3 linked regions of the Caenorhabditis elegans genome follow. The protein of the gene in region 3 interacts with the protein of the main gene of each other region in a pairwise test. Each region holds a gene or a part of one and is shown on either strand. Other genes may lie near its edges.

Region 1 (6,851 bases), on a different chromosome or scaffold from region 3:
CAAATATGACGCCACTGCCAGTTGCAACTGCAGGTGGCGGTGATAAATCTCCATCTGTAGTGAAGAAATCGTCAACAGGATCAGAAACGACGACGCCGGCTAAAAAGTGAGCAATTTTGGAGCATGGAAATGTGGATTTACGTGTATTTCCCGAGGAGAAGAAGCTAAAACTGACGATTTTGGACATTTTTTTTGGCTGAAATGCTCGGTTTGGAGCATTTTCGCAGTTAAAAAATTTTATTTCCAAAAAAAAACGAAAAATAAATTATTTTGTAAAAAAATCCAAAAAAAAACTTCTTTTTTTTAAATTATGGTTTTCTCATTGAAATCAACAAAATTTCAAATTCGCCAGTTTTTTTTCAATAAAAAAAATAAGATTTTTCAGCGAGAAATTTCGAGTTTTTTCTTGGTTTTTCTACACTGAAAAACCTGAAAAATCGAAAAAAAAATCCTAAAATGTGTGATTTTCACCAATTTTTCACCTAAGAACCGAACAATTGCGATTTCAATGCTAAATATTAGAAAAATCTGCGAAAATGGTCCAAAATCCAGTTTTTTAAAGCGAAACACCCACTGAAAATAAACTTCTCCTCGGAGAGTACACAAGACCACCGTAAATCGACACACAATATCTTACATTTAAAAAATTAAAATTCCTGGAATTTTTTTGGTTGGAAAATTTATTTTTAAGTCAAAAAAAAATCGCTTCAAAAATCGAATTTTTGAAAAAAAAATTGACTTTCCGTAAGTTTTAGCCGAAAAAATACTTTTCCCGTCAAAAAAATCGCTTCAAGACCCAAAAAAATCTATATTTTTTCAGATAAAGCTCCTATCAATCATTTCTTATTCTTCTTCTTCAAAAAAAAAAACTCGATATCAATGGTGATATATATGATGATAAGCACCTCTTCTATTTTTCCAAAATGCTCTCCGTCTCTGCGTCTCCTTCTTATACACACTCTCTCGTCTTCTGCTGCTGGATCGAAACCATTTTATTTGAAATAAAATCAATCGATAATTGTACACACACAAATCCCCGAAAACCCGCTAAATCACACACATTACCCACCCCACCCCAACCAAAAAATAAACGCCATCATTAATATTATTTTTCTCTTTTTTTATTATTTTTCCTTTTTTCCCCCAAATTTTATTGAATTTCTTCCATTTTTCGCCCTCTTTTCTGAAAATTCGTGTTTTTGCTCACCATGTCTTCGTGTTTTTCTTTTCCCTCTCCACTTTTCCCTTTCTCTCTCTCTCTCGTCGTCGTTTTCCACATATTTTATTCCAGATTTTTCTCTATTCATAATATTTTTGTTGTATCCCAAATTCTATTATCGAGTTGCGAACAAATGGTGATTTTTGGCGGAAAATTAGGGTCTCGCCGCGAAAAAACAATTTGCTACAGCACCCCTTTAAAGGCGCACGATAGCGTCGAGACCTTTTTTAATCAAAAATCGATATTTTCTCCGCAACTGGGTAATATTACTGAACTATTTCAGATTTTTAAATATACATTTTTTTGTGCCCCGTTTTATTTTTTTTTGTATGTCTGTTGTCTCTAGTAGTATCAAATATCAATACCAAAAATAATGTATGGAATATTTTTTAATATTAGTGTTGTAAAGATCCCCCTCCTCCTCAAAATGTCCCAAAAATTGCGAAGAAACAAAAAAATTCACTCTCTCCCCCTCTTTCTCTCTCTCTCTGTATGAATTTTTTGTATTTATATACACAAACATACACACACACATACACACCATATATCGATTGAATTGAACTTTTTCCCCCAAATTTTGAATTCTTTGTGCGATTTTTAGACGAATTTTTTCAGTGCTCAGAGACTGACATTATTGTATCATTGACACCAAAATAGTTGGAAAAAAATGGAAAAGAAATTTTCAGAAATTTTCAGACAAAACGGGTCATTATCATGGACAGCGGACGACGAAGCCGTAGTGGATCGAGAGATAGAGATAGTAGACGCAGACATAAGAAGGTTGTGGATTTACGCGGGATTCGTGTACTCCACGAGGAAAAGAGGATTTTTTCAGTTTTTTTTTTGGCAGGAATTCTTGATTTTGGATCATTTTCGCTAATTTTCGCTGATTTTTTCTAAGTATTTTTCTGTTAAAATCCTAAATTCAAAAAAAAATTTACGAAAAAAAAACGCAAAAAGTAAGAACGAGCCGCGACGCGACACGCAACGCGCCGTAAATCTACCCCAGATATGGCCGAGCCAGAATGGCCTAGTTCGGCAAACTCGTCCATTTCAATTTATGAGGGAAGCCAGAAATCCGTGAAAAATCAGAATTTTGTGGATTTTGATGAGAAAAGCTGAGAAATTACTAAAAATATTGAAAAATTGTAATTTTTCCCAAAAAACGCCAGAAATCGAAAAAACCAGAAAAAAATCCTCAAAATCTGTTGATTTATTCAAAAAAAATTTTTTTAAAATTCCAGAAATTCTATATTTGCTTTCTAAAAACTCCAAAAAAAAAGCCAAAAAATTTTTTTTTGAAAAAATCGAAAAAATCCTCTTGCAAAAATATCATTTTCCACGAGGAGTACACAAAGTCCCAAAAATTTCCGTAAAAATCAATAATTTCAGCATAGACACAAGCGTCGATCCCGTACACGGAGCCGCAGTAGATCATACGAACGGAATGGAACGGCTGGAATTCATATTAATCCAGCTTTTGGGTTGGTTTTTTTGTTATTATTCAGGTCTCGAAACGATCGATTTTTAATTACAAAAAGGATTACTGTAATTCCATATTTCTCGATTTTTATAGGGGAAAAACCAGGAAAATTTCGCGAAAAATTGCCCGAAAATCGGATTTTTCCAAAAGTTTCAATTTTCAAAAATTTCAGACTCCCGCCTGGAACCGTACAACCACAACCAATGGGCTACTCGGCGTCACAGCTTTTGCAGACGAATAATATGTTGGAAGCCGAAATTCATCGGCTGAAAGCCGCGTTGAACGCCGCGCAAGGCGGTCAACAAATTGAAGCTCAGCGGTGTCAAATGCTCCAACAAGAATTGCGGTGATTACATGAATAGCTTCTTCTGCTCCTTGAAATGGAAGAGTTTTACCGCGGCCACGACCGCGACGCAGCTGCATGCGCGGAGCGGCTCATCAAAAAAATTAGCTAAAATGATAAAAAAAATCACAAGCCGCTCCGCGAGCAGTTGCGTCGCGGTCATGGCCGCGGCCGAGGTTCCCAGCTCTGCCATTTCAAGATACGAGGGACTCTGGAAGGCCATGCTTCTGCTGAAAAATCTTTTTTTTTTCTGTTTTTCGAGAATTTTTTAATGATTACTCAGATAGTGATTTTGCTTGATGAAAATATTACGCAGCCGCAAAATTTTTCGAATTTCGTGTCAAAACTACGGTACCCGGTCTCGACACGACAATTTTTGTTAAATTCTAACGGTGTGCGCCTTTAAAGAGTACTGTAGTTTCAAACTTTCGTTATCAATTTTTCATAGATTTTTCACGATTCGTAAATATTTAGGGGTTTTTTTACAAATAAATTGATTTTTCACAGTTTTTCGATAAAAAGCGATTTTTTTTGTTGAAACAACTCAATTATTTAGAACAATAAAAACACCTAAATATCTACGAATCGTGAAAAATTGATAAAATTCCGCAAAAATGGGAGTTTGAAACTGCAGTACTTTTTAAAGGCGCACACCTTTTCGAACTTAACAAAAATTGTCGTTTCGAGACCGCGAATGTCGCATTTTTTGCTGATGTGTAATATTTTAGGAGAATTATAGCAAATATCAAGAAAATTTGAAAAATATATCGATTTTTTGCTCAGAAATGCTCAAATCCAACGAGATCAAGCCAACAAACGATGTAACGAGATAATGTCCGAGAGGAGAATGATGAATGATTCGAAAGTTGAAATGGCAAATGTAAGAGCTGAAAATTCTCTCAAAAACTGGCAAAAAATGGTTGAAAAGCAAGAATTTTAGCCAAAAAATGTGAAATTTTTCGAAAAATGAATTCTTACTTCTCCTCGGGGAGTACACGACCTGCGTAAATGGACAATAAATGTTTATAATACTTTCAGCGAATTAATGGACTAGAAGTGGCGAATCGGATGCTCCGAGATGATGTTACCCAGGCGAGAAATGCGACGGAAGCTAAAGAGGAGGTTTTTATATATAATTTAACGGAAAATTTGAAAACCAAAAAAAAAATTCCAGGAAATCCGAGCAATAACGTATCAATCAGAAATTGTTCGCCAACAAATCAACGCTCTGAACGAACGAAATGCGGCGCTCAAGACGAAATGCGAGACGGTAGTGGCGCAAAATCGTCAGCAGCATGAAGAGTAAGTAGACAGCACGGAGGCTGTTACACTGGTGGCGCAGGCGGTAACGCGCTTGACTGCCAGACGGCTGGGGTTCGGCTCGACCCCCGCTGCCGCATGCACCTTGCACTCTACGCCTTTCCTTTCAATGGGTTGGTATGATTTAATAAGGATGCAAGAGAATAGTACGGGAAGTTCGAAGACTTGCGGATTTGCTTCCACGGCTCCGCGAGTTCATAACTGTCACCACAATTAAAAAAAATTTTTTTTTTCTAATGGAACGCATTTTTAAGACGAGATTTCAGAATGGAAGCCCGTCAAAAGTTCGTGCAAGGTGCTCAGTTAAATGTGAAGAAGGCGGAGGCGGATTTGCAATTGGCCAATGCAGAAATTCAGTGAGTTTTGAGTTTTAAAAAAAGTTTAAGTTTCAGAAAACCGTAAACTAATTTCAGACGTCTGCTCCGAGAACTTGACAGCTCTCAGCAGCTCGAGAATTCGAGCATCACTGACAAAAGAAATATCGAAGAAGAGCTCATCCGGAAAGAAGATGAGATCAGATTGGCAAACTACAAATCAGCAACCTTATTAAAAGCGGCAAATGATAAAATCGAAAAACTCGAGTTACGATTGAAACAAGAAAAACCGGCGGTGCACAATGAGATGACTGTGGTAGGTTTAGCAGGAAATTGACAAAAAACCGGAAAAAATGGGAAAAATTCTAATCACTTTCACAAGTTCCAGGAAACAATATACATTGCCATAGAGACTATCAAAACGACGTACGAGAAGCAGCTGTCCAGAATGGAAGAAGAAATTGAGCATTTGAAAGCTGAAAAGTTGAAGCAGGAGCAGCAACAAATAATGATGGAGGAAGAGGAGGATGCAGTGGTTCAGAATCTCGAGGAACTTCCAGCCTATCTGAAGACTCCAATGAGGCCGGATCCAACGAAGATGGAAGGTCTTAAAAAGACTATTCAAGTGAAGATCAGGCTTGATGAAGAGCCCGAACGCCCGGCTCGGCCGGCTAGTGGACCGCCCGTAGATTCACCTGTGACGTGGCATCAGAGAAAGCCGTTCGAACGGCTCCCAGCGATGGTTGTGCCGCTTTTTGGGACAACTGAAGGTGAGATATTAATCAGGCGCAAAAAATACTGTACTCGGTCTCGAAACAACAAATTTTTATTCAGTGAGAAAAGGCGCAAAAAATTGTCGTGTCGAGACCGTACGTACCGAACTTTTGGTGCAAAATTTTACGTCTGTGTGTGTCAGGCTGTCCCATCACGGTTTGATCTACACAAAAATGCGCGATTTGTTTGCCTAAAAAGTGTGACGTCAGCACGTTCTCAACCATGCGAAATTAATTGAGAAGTCTGCGGCATTTTTTGTAGATCTACGTAGATCAAGCCGAAATGAGACACTCTGACACCACGTGAAACTGACATTTTCAGCACCATCAACAGGACCCGGACCATCCATTTCATCCGAAGATCTCATCACTTCCTCGACAATCGAATCAACGTCCGATGAAATTAGCATTGCCGCCTGCAATCAGTTCTCTGAGGAGGATCTGCTGCTCGCCGAGCCAACTGATATGATATCACCGAGTCAACTATTGGATCTCGATGAGCAGACTCTGCTTGGTGGAGAATAATTTATATTTGTATTACGGGGCTTTAAAATTGCTTCAAAATTCCCAAAATAGTCTGAAAATATTTTTTTTGTTTGGAAAAAAAATCCGAATTCATTTTTCCGAATTTTTTTCCCGAATTATGCTGAACAGCTCCCGCCGCAGATTAGCAAAATTATCAACACTTCCCTTTTTAACAATTTTTGATGATTTTCATACTATTTTCGGGAGTTTTTTAAAAGCAAAATCCCGTCCCCCGCACCCAATTTTTAAAATATTCATTCCCTCGTTCCCCCGATCTGAATTTGTTTTACGGTTCTCCGTGCGTGTGTATGTGTCAATTTTAATAGTAATTTTGAATCAATAAAGTTTTATTATAATAAAAATTCCCTCAACATCGATCTCTAGTACTTGACTGCACAATTTTGGGCGCCATTGACACGGTGCTTTGGGATTTCTGAAATACACAGTTTTTTGGGTGAGCTTTATTCGTACACTGCCCGGTGTCAATTTACGCGGCTCGTGTACTCCTCGAGGAGAAGTGGGAATTTTTTTTGGGCGTAAATCTTTGATTTTGCACTAATTTCGTCAATTTTTGCAGTTAACGTCGAATACAAAAAATTTGGCGAAACTGCGCAAAATGAATATTTTCGGCGAAAAAAGTACTGCAAAATCCTCTACAAAAAATTCACACTTTTCCACTACGAGTACACAAGCTTCGTAAATCGACACGTGGCCGTGGAAGAGGTTTTTCTCTGCCATTCTCTGCCATGAGACCTACCTTAAACCGGCAACAAAACGCGCTCTGAACATCCCGATTCATCATTAATAGCATTATTGGATTAATAAACGATAGATTGCCAGATAGTGTTGGATAAAAAAGACGTAACGCCCGTAC
Region 2 (6,832 bases), on a different chromosome or scaffold from region 3:
AAACGAGCGTGTTTGTCCATGCGTCCCATTCGTACAGTTTCTTTGGTTGTCTACCTAAACTCTCTTGTTTTCAAACACTATTTCACCCACCTTCTCCCGCATTTCTCTTTCACTTTCCGGGAGGAACTGTTCGTTCGTCGTGCGCCCATCGCAACCGACCTGTATCTGTATGTATCCTCTCATTTCTCTCTAATAACCTACTTCTCTTCAATCTACTTGGATACATGATTTGTTATGAAATGTTTTATCTTTTATTATTTCATGAAGTTAGAATGTTCCTTATGAAATTGAGTTTACCATCAGAAGTGGATTAGAATTTAGTCAATGGGATTTCAACTACATTTAAATCTCAGCTATGTATTAAAGATAAAATCATTTTCACAGAAATTTTCTATGAATTGTTACTGATAAACGTCTATTTGTAAATTGTCAACATGCTGTGAAATACACCTAGGACTACTAGCCTGAAATTATTCCTCAACTCCAGTGATAGGTTTCTTTGGTATATCACCCTAAAAACTAGTTACACCTGCCTCGTAGGCACGAAAGTAGGCACCCTCTATTTGCATGGAAGCCCTATTATATTATAGGTAATTTTTCAGATTCACAAGAATGACATGTAGTTCAAGTTCAATTAAAATTCCTACATAAAATTCCCTACTCCTTCTCCTACTCTTTTCATTTTTCTATTTCATCTCAATTCAATTTGAACAAACTTCAAACAATTCGTTTCACACATCACAAACATTGTAAATACACATATATCGTTTGTTGAAAAAAGTCATGTGGGTTTTTAAGGTTAAAGTTTAACCGATTTTATTACACTATCTCTCACGGTTGAAATATTCAAAATAATATTTTCTTCTAGAAAACAGCGTTTCTACATATTCTGTTAAAGCTAACGGCCTAAATTTTAAATCGACTCTATTTTTAAAAAATTGATCAGGTTACCAACTAGCGATGTTTTATATTTTGTTCAAAGGTAGGAGCTCCAAAGTTTGTCAAAAGTCAAAAAAAAAAGCTTAAAGTTTACCAAGAGCCAAGTAAAAATTTATATTATCGAAACATGGAAAAACGTATCAAAACATAGTTTTTTGTTAAGATTCTCTGCCTTGTATGTTTGTATTTGAGGCGATGATGATGGCAAGACTCGTATGTTTATTCTTTTCCTTTTCCTGCAAACTCGTCTTTTAACGGATTATTTCGGACCCATGCACCGCCCATCTTGACCGTATTAAGACAGTTTTTGTGTGAATTTTCGTTGGATCGAAACACTGTGAGTATTGTTTTTATTTTGAAATATATGGATCTTATAATCTGAATGTTCAGTTGGAATATCGCAGTGTGGCTTTTGATCTCCGCACACACTTCATCTGATTGGTATAAAAATATGTGGAACAAATTACTGATTATTTTCACAGTTTTCATTTTGAAAGAAATTCAAACAGTGAGCTTAGTCAGGTTTTGGGAAAATCGTTATCGAAAGTTGAGTTTTTCAGTATTTCTAGTTTTTTTAGTGTTTCGTTTGTGGTATATGTTCCTTCATTTCATTAGCAAAACAATAACGTTGGTCTGTATTTCAAAAATCTGTCATGTATTTCCAAAAGAATATTTAAAAACATCTCGTTTCTATTTTCAAGTGCCTCTATTTTCATTCTTGTAGTAACCTTCAAATTCCAACTAATTTTAACTGTTAATTGAAGGAAATTTCTTCAAATTGTGTTATTTCTAATTCACCCGTCTTCTTCTTTTCCTCCATCTATTCCATACGAACCGAATGAACAAATCAGTGTGATATTCCTGCGCATTCGACCGGTTTCTCACTTATTTTCTTTCTATCTTTTCTCCTATTCCATCTTCTATAATTAGTCCTTTCCGTATGTCGTCCAGTTGACCCATTTCTCCGTTTTTCATTCAGAATTCTATATGGTAGAAGTGGAAGCAAAACCGTCGAGTTTGTCAGTTGAAGAGGATGAAAATGAAAATGAAGAGGAAAAGCTTGAAGATGTGGAAAAAGAGAAATTAGTGAAACAGTTAAAGTTTGAAAAAGCAGAACGAAGACGGATTGCAGAGGAAATGGAAAAAGAGATTCGAGAAGTTGAGGCAAAATGGATGGAAAAAGTTAGAAAAGCATCTGAAGAGCGAGATGATATTGGAAAGAAAATTGATGAGTTTGAAGAGAAAATTGATAGTCTACAAATACAAGTACATAGGTTAGTTCATGATTTAAATCACTAGAAAAGCTCAAAAATGTTTATTGAAAATTAAAAAGACCTGGAATTGGTACCAAAATGTATATGATAAGTGGTAGTTAACTTCCTGAAATTTCGAAATAAAATCAATATGTCATTTTTGAGAGAATTTGTTGGTGCACTTTAAACTAGAGAATTGTCGATCTGAAACTTTTCGGGCCAGTTTTTAATCATAATGATGTTGTAAAAAATTTGAATGGCTTTAAAAATTTGAAATTCAAGTTTTTTTAAACGTTCGAAAATAATTTTCAGCAGAAGAAAACTAATAAATATTTAAAAACCATTGGAAAATGGCCCGTTATGAAAAAAAATATATTTCAGAAGTGAAACATATAAAATGGAAATTGAAGAAGCGAACAAACGGCTACGGTTACAATATGAAGCTCTCCAGAGAGATTATGAGGAAACAATGCAGGAAAGAAGTATTGTATTAGAAGAAAACTCTCGTCAAAATGAAGAGAGGGATCGACTGCAAAAAGAAATTGAAAAAATGAAAGAGGTTTGATTTTACAATGACAATCAAATTAAAAAAAAATTTCAGGATTCTGAAGAAGTTGCTGCATTAAAACAGAAACTTGAAAATACAAGAAGACTCTTGAAAGTCAATATGGAAGAAACTGCTCAGGCAAATGCTCGAAAAGAAGCTGCAATTGCAAGGCTTACAGAAGCAGAACAAAATGGAGCTAGAATTACAGAAGAAAGAGATGAAGCTTTGAGAAAATGTCAACAGACAACTGGAGATGCAATTGTGGATATTTGGAATACTCATTCTGTTCAAATTAATTTGGTAAGTTGAAAGAAAACTCATTTCAATCGTTTCGTTTCAGACAGCCAAGATAAAAATTAAAAACGAAATTAATTTCAGCCCTTCAACAAACCAAACTTGGGAATTATGCTTGGTGGAGGCCGTACGGACGATGGTTCAATTGTTCATGGTCCAATATATGTTAGACAAATTGCTCACGGTTCTCCATTTGATAATGTATTGAAAAAGCTGGATCATATAATGATGGTCAATGACATATCTGTAACAGATATGGACGAAAGAAGTGTAATGGGAATGTTATCCAACTGTCATCACATTCATCTTGTTATTAGAAGAAGATCAAATTGCAATAAAATTAGTGATGTTTGTCTGCCATTGAACTATGGTGAGTTACTTATTACATTTAAGAGTGTAGTTTTACATTTCAGGTGTAGGTCTTGAACTATCCAATGGAGTATTCATTAATTCCTGCGAACCAAACGGTGCTGCTTCTCGTAGTGGATTGGCTCCAGGGCAACGAGTTGTTCATGTTATGCACACTCCTGTTTATGATGCTAAACATGCTGAGATGCTAATTAAAAATTCTCGAGAGCCTCTAGTCATTGGAATTCTTCAATCTACTAAACGAGGTGATCATAATGGAAAGGATAAACATCGACAAACTATATTTTCGAGGGTAAACCTTCGTTATAAAATGCTAGTGAAACTTTAGTATTCTTGTTTCAGTGGTTCAGTCGAAATGGTGGATCTGATAAAGAGCGAACTGTTGTTGCAAAAGCGAATATTGATCGTTCAAATGATCAAGTTCTTCTTCGTCAGGGATCTCTGCGAATGCCACAAGCTTCTCCAGCATCAATGAGTCCCTTGGTACGGTATGGTTCTCTACGTGCTCCAACCTATTCAAGTAGCATTGATCATACAAAATTAATGCTGGATGCACTGGATAAAAGATTCAATGCAAAGTTAGTTTCCTTCAAATTTGATTACTACAAAGTTGAATGTTCAGATCCACAGCGCATTCTGAAATAAGTTCATCTTCAACAGCCGCTCCAACAGCTTTATGGAGCCCATCTTCAGTTAATGAAAAAGATCTCGTATTTGCTGGAACCAATATCGAAGGAGTTCCAGTATATGTTCCTAAGAGTACCATATTTAGCACACCAACGTCACCTGTGACGTAAGATTCTTGACATTTTTAGTCAAAAAAAAGAAGAAAACTCTGACTTTCAGAAGACTAATCCGTCAAAATAGTGAGCAAAAACGAACAATGTCTCAAATATCATCTCATCGAGGAGGATGGGATGGAAGAAGCTTTTCATCGAACACGACAACTTCAGATGCTCGTCCATATTCTATGCACTTCACACCTACATCATCAACTATAATGGAAGGAAAACCCCACAGAAGATCAGCTGTTTACAGTCCAAGTCATCCACCAGTATATCCTACAATTCGGGATGACTCTATGTCTTCTGTTATGTCTTCGAGTAACTCCATTCGACTTCCAAGCACAAGTTTTTCCAATCAGTATCCTAATAATTGTAGGTTTTCAAAAGTTAACTGCTGTAGTCTAGAAATTGTTTCAGCTACCTGCAGCTTGACTGGAGGGAGTGGAGTACCTCCACGTCATTGCATAAGTAAAGATGGAAGTGATTTTTCAATTTCAACAACTGGAAGTGCAATGCACAGTTACGCTGAGGGAAGATCCAATAAGAAATATCACTTGCCACGTGGAAATCATCACTCTGAATCTCTTCTTGTAAACCGTTCATCTCAACCGAGACTGGTCGAGGTTCCAAGAAGTGATGTAAAACTTTGTGGTGGAAATGCGATTGGTACGAGAAAGCAATTCATGTCAAAATAATCTCCGCTATATTTTAGGTATCCTCGCTGAAAAATCAATTGGTTCTGACCTTCTCGAAGGAGATCTCATTTTATCAATCGATGGAAATTGCGTTCGAAATACAACACTCGAGTGTGCAATGAATACTTTATCAGCTGATAATTCGGAGTTAACAGGTCTTCTAGTTCAAGACGGTGGAGATCGATTGAATCGTTTGAGACTTGGAGCTGACGGTGACAGTTTCTTCCTTCGTGTTAATATCGATAGATCAATGGAGAACAAAGATGAACTGGATTTAAAATGTGGTGATGTTGTTTTCGTTGACAAGACTATGTTAATGGGCAAAACTGGAAGATGGAGAGCATGGAAAGTGGACAAAGAGGGACGACAAAGAGAACATGGAGCTATTCCAAGTTCAACGACTGTTTATCAGGCAATTCGAGCTAACAGATATGCAAATCCGTTCCCGAAGAAGGCTTATGAGTGGGTTGAGAAGTTGGATACAAAAGTGAAACGACCGGTTCTTTTGTTTGGAGCAGTTGTTGAGCCTTTCCTTCAAATGCTTGTTGATGAATCTGATAAGTTTTCAATTGTTGCAAGAGAGTCTTTAACTGCAAGTTTGGATGAAGTATCGGCTTTATTGAAGGATAAAGTATTGATTGATTCGAAACAAAACGATGATGTTTATGATCTTTATCACGTCGTATCAACTGCTCATATTATGGATATCACGGCTCAAGGGTTGAGTTTTCAAACATTTTCATAGTTATGCTGAGATTTTCAGACTCCATTGTGTCCTCCAAGTTGATCAGTCTGCAATTGATCGATTGAAAAGATGTAGAATGTTCCCTATTCTTGTGAAGATTCGATTCAAGTCAGTTAAACAGTTAAAAGATGTCAATGAACATATTTGTGGAGAGAAAATCAGTTCAAAAGAAGCCAAACAGCTTATTGAAAAGGTACGGTAATTTACGAAAACATAATTAACCCGCCCGGTCTCTACCGTCGTCTCATTGCCTCTCATCCAAAAACGCAGCGGGCAATTGAAGAGGCGGATCAGAGGCTCTCATCGGAGTCTATAGAAACTTTTCACAATACTTTTTCGAAACTTTTCAAAAAATTTTCGATATACCAATAATTAATTTTCAGGATTTGAAAATAGAAAAAGATCTTGATGGATCAGTTACACTTGTAGTGCCAAGTCATAATAATGTCAGCTTCATGATGACTCACGCTGTTCTACAGGTAATTATTCTTTCAATTCGTGCCGCACTTAACTTTTTATTATTTTTCAGCTGAAAAAAATAATTGAAGACGAGCAGAAAAAAATCGTATGGGTTCAAAGAAAAGTCGATGAAGAATAAATAATATTGAGAAAGAGAACATAGAATCTCCGGTGCTTTTATTGTTTGAAAATGAAGTAATTTGAAGAAATATAAATTTGTTCATATGAAAATATTGAAAGCATTTGTAAAAATGAAAGAAAAAGGTGGTTCAGTGGAAAAGGCAATAATTAATTAGAAAAACGATGGGAATGGCAAGAAAAATCGAGGATGACGAGCGAGCGGAGTCGATGTAGAAAACATTGAACTCTCGGAGATTTGATATATTTCTGAAATAATCAAAATTATTTCTCAGTTGTCAAGAGTCACAACCTGTATAAATATAGCTCAGGTGGCCAAGAGAGTTCAGCTGATTTGAGATCAGCATTACAGTAAGATTGATCACAAATCCATTGCTCTAAGCCAGTGTATGCACGGGTGTAGCCAATCTGAAAGCAATAATTCGTAAAAATCTGAAATCTGATAATAATCGTTTAACGTCTAATTACATCATCAGTTCATTTTTTAAAGTTCTTTAAAAATTATCAGAAACATGTTCGAAATTTTATCCAAAATTTTCATAAATTCGAGTCGATAATTATTTTCTGTTTTATTTAAGGCTCAAAAGGATTTTTGAAAAATTATGTGG
Region 3 (7,495 bases):
CATCGAGACCCGCAGAAAGCAACGCCGCTCCTGCCAACAAAGTGACGATTGCCTGAACAACGTCGAGTACGCAGTCTTCCAAAAAGTCTATGCAGACAAGAGAACCAAACGAGAAGCCGTGTTCCGTCGTAAGAAGTGCTCGAGGTGTGGAGTCTCTGGGCTCACGCCACATCGTGTCAAGAGAAACTTCGGGCAGCCGAATATCAACGTCTCGGAGCAGAATTGCATGGCATTCCCACAGTGTCGGCATAGAGTGAAGAGAAACTTTTTGGGAGAAGACTGTAACATCTGTACACAGGATACTGGTCTGAAGCGGAGGAAGAGAGACTTCGGAACAGCGGTAGGTGTTGGTTTAATGAGCTTCCTTATCTTAAAGTTTTCAGCAATGCTACCCATGCCCAGGAACACGTTCATAACTTGAAGCGACTCCCTCCGATTCTCACATATCACATAAATACCACCTCGTAATAATAATTCAACATGACTAATAAAACAAATAAGTACATACATACATTTATATTAGCTTTTAGCACCCGTAGCAATTTGGAGCAAGAAAATATGTGTAAAGAAATTGGAGATGTAGTAGATTTGGTCGTTATAGTGATCGCAGATCTTTCAGCTCTTTGAGCCGGAATATTGACTGGCTTGGAGCCAGGAGATGAACCTCGCGGGGGAATGAGGCAAAGTAGGGGTGAAGCATTGCACTGGCTGCGGAGACACGGCTTTCCGGGCGGAGCTGTAATTTTGAGGGTTACAAGATAGGTGTAGCTCGATGTCGATTCATTTAGACTAGCATTGCAGCCAGGGCTTAAGCTTTCGGCTTGAGCTTGCACTCAAAGATTGCTGCTCAATATAGCTCGCGAAGACTGATTTGTCAAAGATTAGACTAGTAGGCCTGGACTGACTTAAAGGTGGAGTAGCGCCAGTGAAAATTTTGTCAAAATACATACATAATGATCCGAAAAAAAAACCAAATTTCATAATAAAACAATCCAAAAAATTAGATTTTTCACAATTTCAGGTCAAATTTTTGGCAAACTGCTAAAATTTTGAAAAATGAGCAATTGAGGAAATCTAGAGCAATGTCGCATGTTCCGACCCCTACAATATTTTAATACAAATAATTAAAACACAATTACAGTATAAAAATGTAGGAAAAAAAATTTTTTTTTTGTTGGTCGACTTCCAAAATTATGAGTGGTAAAATTACAGTAAATAAAAAATTTTCAAAATTTTTTTGAAACGTTTTATTATGATATTCGGTCTTTTCGGGACTAAAGGAGTGGTTTTTACAAGTCTACTTACCTGAAGAAGCATCCCCAGAAGTTCCTGACCAGTCTTCAGAATCTTCGTGAACATCGGGTTCACCGCGATGAACGACAACTCCCGATACCTGGGGAACAGTTCAGGGGTGTAGCCTGGTAATGTCTTTACCTGAAACAAACATCTTTATCTCTAGATTTTAGATTCCCTCACCTCCGGCCACTTTTTCTCGTCTGGAGTACCCCGAATGCTGAAGATCATATCCAACTGGTCCTTGGTGCCGGGGTAGTGAGAGTCCTTGGATCCCGGGAACAAAGCGGCGCCCGTGCAAATTTCAGCGAATATGCAACCGACTCCCCTGCAAAGTTAGTAGATATAGTTGGTACCTTTTATAAAATAATATCCTCCTACCACATATCCAGGGAAGTTGAATAGTCGGTACTTCCCATGAGAACATCAGGCGGGCGGTACCATAAAGTGACCACCTCGTGAGAATATGTCCTACTCGGCACAGATTTCGCCCTGGCTAGACCAAAGTCTGCGAGTTTTAAAACACCGTCTTCGTCGAGAAGCAAGTTTTGTGGTTTTAAATCTCTGAAAATCAGTTTTTATCAAGAGTTATGGCCGCAACGGCGCCTCCGCCGACCCCAGCGGTCGCCGCGCCGGCCTCCGCGGAACCCCGAAAATGTCCGCCGCTCCAAACAACCACTTTTTTGCACTACGTTGCGCACACACCAGGCTACTCATTTCACGCCAAGCTGCGGAACACCGAACGTGTCCGCCGCTCCAAATAACTCCCTTTCGCAATACGTTGAGCACACACCAAGCTGCGGAACTCCCAACGTGTCGGCCGCTCCGAACAACCACTTCTACGCACTTCATTGCGCACACACCAGGTTACTCATTTCACGCCAAGCTGCGGAACCCTGAACGTGTCCGCCGCTCCAAACAACTCCCTTTCGCAATACGTTGAGCACACACCAAGCTGCGGAACCCCCAACGTGTCGGCCGCTCCGAACAACCACTTCTACGCACTTCATTGCGCACACACCAGGCTACTCATTTCACGCCAAGCTGCGGAACCCCGAACGTGTCGGCCGCTCCAAATGACCACCTTTCGCGCTTCAACGGCGTCGGCGTGAGGCCCGAATTTCGCGCCTCACTCTGCTGGGAGCCCTATCAACACTAGGGAGCAGTTTGAAAACTAACCTATGAAGAATCTTCTTCCTATGACAAAAATCGAGTCCGCGGAGAAGTTGAAAGAGGAGAAGCTTGATGTCAATGCTATCCAACCCATAGACGTTCTGCTCCAGGTACTTGCTCAAATCCATTTTCATGTACTCGAACACAAAAGTTAGCTGGTGGTGTTGATAGAAGATGTCGTGCAAAGAGACGATATTCGCATGACGGAGGTTTCTGAGAAGCGAGGCTTCACGGATAGCGGTGAATGGGAGACCTTCTTGAAATTGAAGTTTGATCTCTTTCAAGGCGACTATGGATCCGTCAAGTCTGAAAATATAATTTAGTTTGGTAATATCAGCTGTTAAAATATCTAACTTCGATTCGCACTTATACACCGTTGCATAAGATCCTTCCCCCAGCTTGTCAATTCGTTTGTACAGATCATTCACATCCTGCGGTGTCACTTCCTCCTTCGCAGGAAGCGTTATCGTATTTGGATCGTAGTGTGCTGATCGTGGTCGACGTCTTCGAAGATGTGTGAAGTCGGCCACAGTGTTGCTAGATGGTGGTGGTGGCATTGATGGAGAGTTCTTGTTTAGGGGCACGGTTGACATGGTTTCAGATGGATTGTTGGAGCGGGAACGTGATTGGCGGCTGAAATGGTATTACTAGGGTTTGATTCGGAAAATTTTCTTAGAAAAACAGTTTGGCGGGAAGTTTAAATTTTCTGATTAAAAATGTTGGCGTAAGTGGTGTCGAAGTGCCCCATTTTGGTTTGATCTACAAAAAATGCGGGAGTTGAGACAAAGACTTTTCAACTGATTTTGCAGGATTAAGCTGACGTCACATTTTCCTGGGGGAAAAATCCCCGCATTTTTTGTAGATCAAGCCGCAATGAGACAGCCTGACACCACGTGTTGACGGGATATTTAAATTTTCTGAGAAAAACATTTTGGCGGGAAGTTCAAATTTTCTGAGAAAAACATTTTGGCGGGAAATTGAAATTTTCTGACAAAAAAATTTTGGCGGGAAATTGAAATTTTCTGACAAAAAAATTTTGGCGGGAAATTGAAATTTTCTGACCAAAAAATTTTGGCGGGAATTCAAATTTTCTGGGAATTAACTTTGGGGAGAAGTTCAAATTTTCTGTAAAAATTTTGGCGGGAAATTGAAATTTTCTGACAAAAATATTTTGGCGGGAAAATCAAATTTTCTGAGAAAAAAAAATTTTGGCGGGAAATTGAAATTATCTGACAAAAATATTTTGGCGGGAAAATCAAATTTTCTGAGAAAAAAAAATTTTGGCGGGAAATTCAAATTTTTTTTTTTTGAAAAGAAAATTCTACGGACCGGAAACGGCCCAACTACGGCTCAAGAGCCGTCTCGGTCGGTAAATGTGTTTTTTGCTCTAAATAATGCATTTAACGACGTAAAAATGCTTAAATTAGCCAACTGGTATCATAGGTATTAAAAAAATTCGTTTTCTTAAAATCCATTTTTTCCTCTTAATGGCCATTTTTTTACATTCCCCGTAGTTTGCCCGTAATTGGTCCGTCCCGCTTTTCATATCCGTAGTTCACCCGTTAATGGTCCGTTCCCGGTCCAAGATCCGTAAACGGACCGTACCGGCTTTGCCTGTGGTCAGATATAACTAGTAAGTCAAGTGGTGTCAGGCTGCCCCATTATGGTTTGATCTACTAAAAATGCGGGAATTTTTCCCCCAGAAAAACGTGACGTCAGCACACTCTTAACCATGCGATACCAGTTGAAAAGTCTGCGTCTCTTCTCCCGCATTTCTCGGAGATCAAACCAAAATGAGGCACTTTGACACCACGTGGTAAGTTATAACAAACATAACAAGGTGTCGAAACTACTGTAATTATAGTCTTACTTCAATATACAACCTAATAAGAATCTCCACCACTTACCTCAAAAAGCTGAAAATATTCTTATTATGATGTTCTGGTGTGCTTCCACTTCCGGACCCCGATGATGCCCCATTCACATGATTGGAGTGCCATGATTGTGTCATTTCATTTGTTCCGTTTTTCGAGATCGGAGATTTGGTGGAGCCTCCTGAAAAAACAGAAATAAATGTGGAATTATATGGGGGCTCATATGTTTTCGGAACTAACCTTTTTGGGAGAAGACTCTGGAGAGCATTTTTGTGTAAACTGACTAACTTGTGCCACCCCCCGCACCCCATAGAATAAATTGGCTAAAATTTCGAAAAAAAAAACTCGCCACCGCCGTTATTCTTGTATTTCTTCTCCTTATTCCGACTCCGACGCAAAGTGAAAATTGACGAGGACGGCTGGAATAATGTTTTGTGTTTGTGTCTTGTGGAAGAGATGCAGAATCGCCGGAAGTTTAGAGGGGGTGGCGTGACTTACTGACCTTCCGGGTGCTCGGCGAGCCGTCCACGTCCTGAATTCGTTGCGGCGACATTGTGGTGATCTGGAATATGTGGAGCGTAATCGAAATATTTAGGCTTAGGCTTAGGCTTAGACTTAGGCTTAGGCTTAGTCTTCGGCTTAGGCTTAGGCTTAGGCTTAGGCTTAGGCTTAGGCTTAGGTTTAGGCTTAGGCTTAGGCTTAGGCTTGGGACTGGGCTTAGGCTTGAGCTTTGGCCTAAGCTTAGGCTTAGGCTTACGCTCAGGCGTAGGATTAGGCTCTGGCTTTGGCTTTGGCTTAGGCTTAGACTTAGGCCTAGGTTCACGCTTAGGCCTAGGCTTACAAGAAATATCCTCATTTACCGACCGACTGTGGCCTAGGATTTCAAAAAATGACCCTTTTTGAAAAATCGAAAAATCGAAATATCGACGAATTTTCGTTTTTGAGGCGTTTTTTTAATTTCAATTTTTATAATTTTTTTCGGTTTTTCGATTTTTCTTGAAAATACCAAACTCACCCTATGCAAGTTCTCCGACGACTTCGAACTCCTAACAGCGGTGAGCTGTGGATGATGTATCATAGACAGTGAGCACGATGCTCTCATAGGCCTCTCGGCCTCCTCCAGCCCAAACCATACTCCAATATGCGAGGTTATTTTTCCCCACATTTGATTGAAAGATGGTATCTGCAAGTGAAATTTTTGGGTGGGGAAAAAGAACGTGAACGAATAATTTGGAGCAGCGGGGGGGGGGGTGGAAAAATGAAGAGCTGCTCGGAGGAGGGAGCCGTACTACGAAATGAGAAGAGGAGAAGCCGGTGTGACGGCGGGGCGTTAATGGGTTACTAAAGCCTCCACATTCCCATTTTCAGCCGTTTCGAAACAAAGAAAATAGAAGAAAAAAAAGACAGATGAAAAATGACTTGGGTGGGTTCGGTGAAAAACAGGAAGCAGGAAGAGTGAGGAAATTGGATGGTGGAAGAGTTTTGGCATTTCTAGGTTACCGGGAATCTTTAGAGACACCTGGGCTGTCCCATTACAGTTTGATCTACAAAAAATGCGGGAATTTTTCGCCCAAAAAATTTTCAACAAATTTAGATATTTTTTACATTTTTTCCCCAATTTTTTCAGCCATATTTCAGCCATGACTGTCCTTTTTTTCGGGCAAAAAAAAATTTTCTCTGAAAATGTTCGAAACTACTAAATTATGCAAGAAGACAATTTTTAAGGTTCGGAGATCAATTTTGAGTCCTCTAGCTTCAAAATTATCCATTTTAGAAGAGTTTTAAAATTGTAATTTTTTACAAAAATTGCTCAATTTTGCCACTTTTTAATAGTTTTCTAAACCTAGATTTTCTGAATTCTGCATATATGAATTACCCGTTTTCAACAAATTTAGACAATTTTTTTCATTGTTTCCAAAATTTTTTTCAGCCATTTTTCAGCCATTACTGTCCTTTTTTTGGGCAAAAAAAATAATTTTTTGAAATTACATTACACACCTTCCATGTTTTCTTCGTAGATTTAAGGTCCATGTCCACTGCTTGGTGGAAGAGTTTTCCGAGTTTTTAGGTCACCGGAGAATTTGAGTTGGAAGAGTTTTCGCATTACTCCCCAACTGTGATAGAACTTCAAAAATGAATATGCAGGGACATCACTCAAATTTGACATGTCAGTTTAAAGGAACACGCTGATTTTCCGAGTGGGTCTCGCCACGATCCAGGTGCTAAATTTTCACAGTTTTTAGTATGTACCTAGTGGCTTATTTCTAAACAACACGCGCATAACATCGGAGTGTCGTTGCATAGGCCACTCTAAAACATAAACAAATGTGTGAAGAAAAATTAAACACAACTAGCACGGATTTCTGACGTCCCTCAGAAGTTGAAATGGAAGAGTTTTTGCCGAACTAGGCCAGGCCATATTCGGGGTAGATTTACGGCGCGTCGCGGCTCGATTTTAGTTGTAAAACTAAATGTATTTGTCCGTGTGGAGTACACGACTTTCCCAAGCGTTGTCCGGCAGGCGATTGTCAATGGAGCGCGAAAATTCAATGAGGAAGGCCAGAACCCCGTGGGATTTTGAAATTTTTTTCAGATATGACAAAAAATGACAATGCCAAATTTAAAATGCATTAATAGCGGACAGAGGAGAGAATAAGTAGGGAAAAAAGAAGAAAAAAAAAGACGGGCGGCGCTTCTCTCATAAAATAGTAATTGGTCATTCTAAGTGTGCCTATTGTTCCTTATTTTTCGCTTTTTCTTGGCTCATTTTAGCTCAAAAACCAAATGTCGAAGAGTTTCTAGAGAACTAGGCCACGAGAGGGAAAAACTAGGTCACTGGAATTTCTACGCTAAAAATTTGGCCCAGCATATTTACCTACGTGGCCGTAAAAGAGAAAGTTCGGCCACTAACTTTTTCGGGCTATCAAAAAAGGTTTACCAAAACTTTATAAAAAAGAAACCACTTGTGGAAAATGGCCGTGCATACTAAAGTTCGGCCACAAACTTTTTTAAAACTTTTTTGCTCAAATTGAAGTACAGGACCACTTCGATGGGCGGTTTTCACTACTTGGCCGTGTAAGAGAAAATTCGGCCACCAACTTTTATTCAAGGCCACACCTCCAAATCCTTCAAAGCTTCAAAAATTTTCTACGTGG

What was found.
Region 1: the proteins of cdk-14 (region 3) and W08G11.3 interact in a two-hybrid assay, tested with the Caenorhabditis elegans proteins (one large-scale study listed by BioGRID).
Region 2: the proteins of cdk-14 (region 3) and magu-4 interact in a two-hybrid assay, tested with the Caenorhabditis elegans proteins (one large-scale study listed by BioGRID).

What each region holds. Positions count from the first base shown.
Region 1 is NC_003283.11:16,365,776-16,372,626, forward strand, and holds W08G11.3 (Trichohyalin), read left to right. Parts: upstream 1-1,905; 5' UTR 1,906-1,933; coding exon 1,934-1,999; coding exon of another isoform or gene 2,000-2,002; intron 2,003-2,611; coding exon 2,612-2,703; intron 2,704-2,874; coding exon 2,875-3,048; intron 3,049-3,828; coding exon 3,829-3,925; intron 3,926-4,083; coding exon 4,084-4,167; intron 4,168-4,219; coding exon 4,220-4,347; intron 4,348-4,443; exon of another isoform or gene 4,444-4,580; intron 4,581-4,631; coding exon 4,632-4,721; intron 4,722-4,778; coding exon 4,779-4,995; intron 4,996-5,061; coding exon 5,062-5,449; intron 5,450-5,774; coding exon 5,775-5,977; 3' UTR 5,978-6,337; downstream 6,338-6,851. Other genes in the region: Serine/threonine-protein phosphatase 2A regulatory subunit pptr-1, read left to right, coding at 1-106, 821-824; srv-34 (G-protein coupled receptors family 1 profile domain-containing protein), read right to left, coding at 6,642-6,851.
Region 2 is NC_003282.8:10,007,890-10,014,721, forward strand, and holds magu-4 (PDZ domain-containing protein), read left to right. Parts: upstream 1-1,863; 5' UTR 1,864-1,926; coding exon 1,927-2,213; intron 2,214-2,573; coding exon 2,574-2,751; intron 2,752-2,793; coding exon 2,794-3,039; intron 3,040-3,117; coding exon 3,118-3,403; intron 3,404-3,446; coding exon 3,447-3,694; intron 3,695-3,744; coding exon 3,745-3,980; intron 3,981-4,024; coding exon 4,025-4,195; intron 4,196-4,248; coding exon 4,249-4,559; intron 4,560-4,604; coding exon 4,605-4,853; intron 4,854-4,899; coding exon 4,900-5,602; intron 5,603-5,645; coding exon 5,646-5,820; intron 5,821-6,010; coding exon 6,011-6,106; exon of another isoform or gene 6,107-6,156; coding exon 6,157-6,225; 3' UTR 6,226-6,318; downstream 6,319-6,832. Other genes in the region: F44D12.2 (DUF7622 domain-containing protein), read right to left, coding at 6,356-6,473, 6,517-6,632.
Region 3 is NC_003279.8:841,241-848,735, forward strand, and holds cdk-14 (Protein kinase domain-containing protein), read right to left. Parts: upstream 5,524-7,495; 5' UTR 5,506-5,523; coding exon 5,356-5,505; intron 5,252-5,355; exon of another isoform or gene 4,931-5,251; intron 4,903-4,930; coding exon 4,843-4,902; intron 4,760-4,842; coding exon 4,690-4,759; exon of another isoform or gene 4,609-4,689; coding exon of another isoform or gene 4,581-4,608; intron 4,522-4,580; coding exon 4,374-4,521; intron 3,100-4,373; coding exon 2,821-3,099; intron 2,773-2,820; coding exon 2,473-2,772; intron 1,858-2,472; coding exon 1,675-1,857; intron 1,622-1,674; coding exon 1,477-1,621; intron 1,435-1,476; coding exon 1,306-1,434; intron 737-1,305; coding exon 596-736; 3' UTR 502-595; downstream 1-501. Other genes in the region: ZC123.1 (Sperm mitochondrial-associated cysteine-rich protein-like), read left to right, coding at 1-340, 384-416.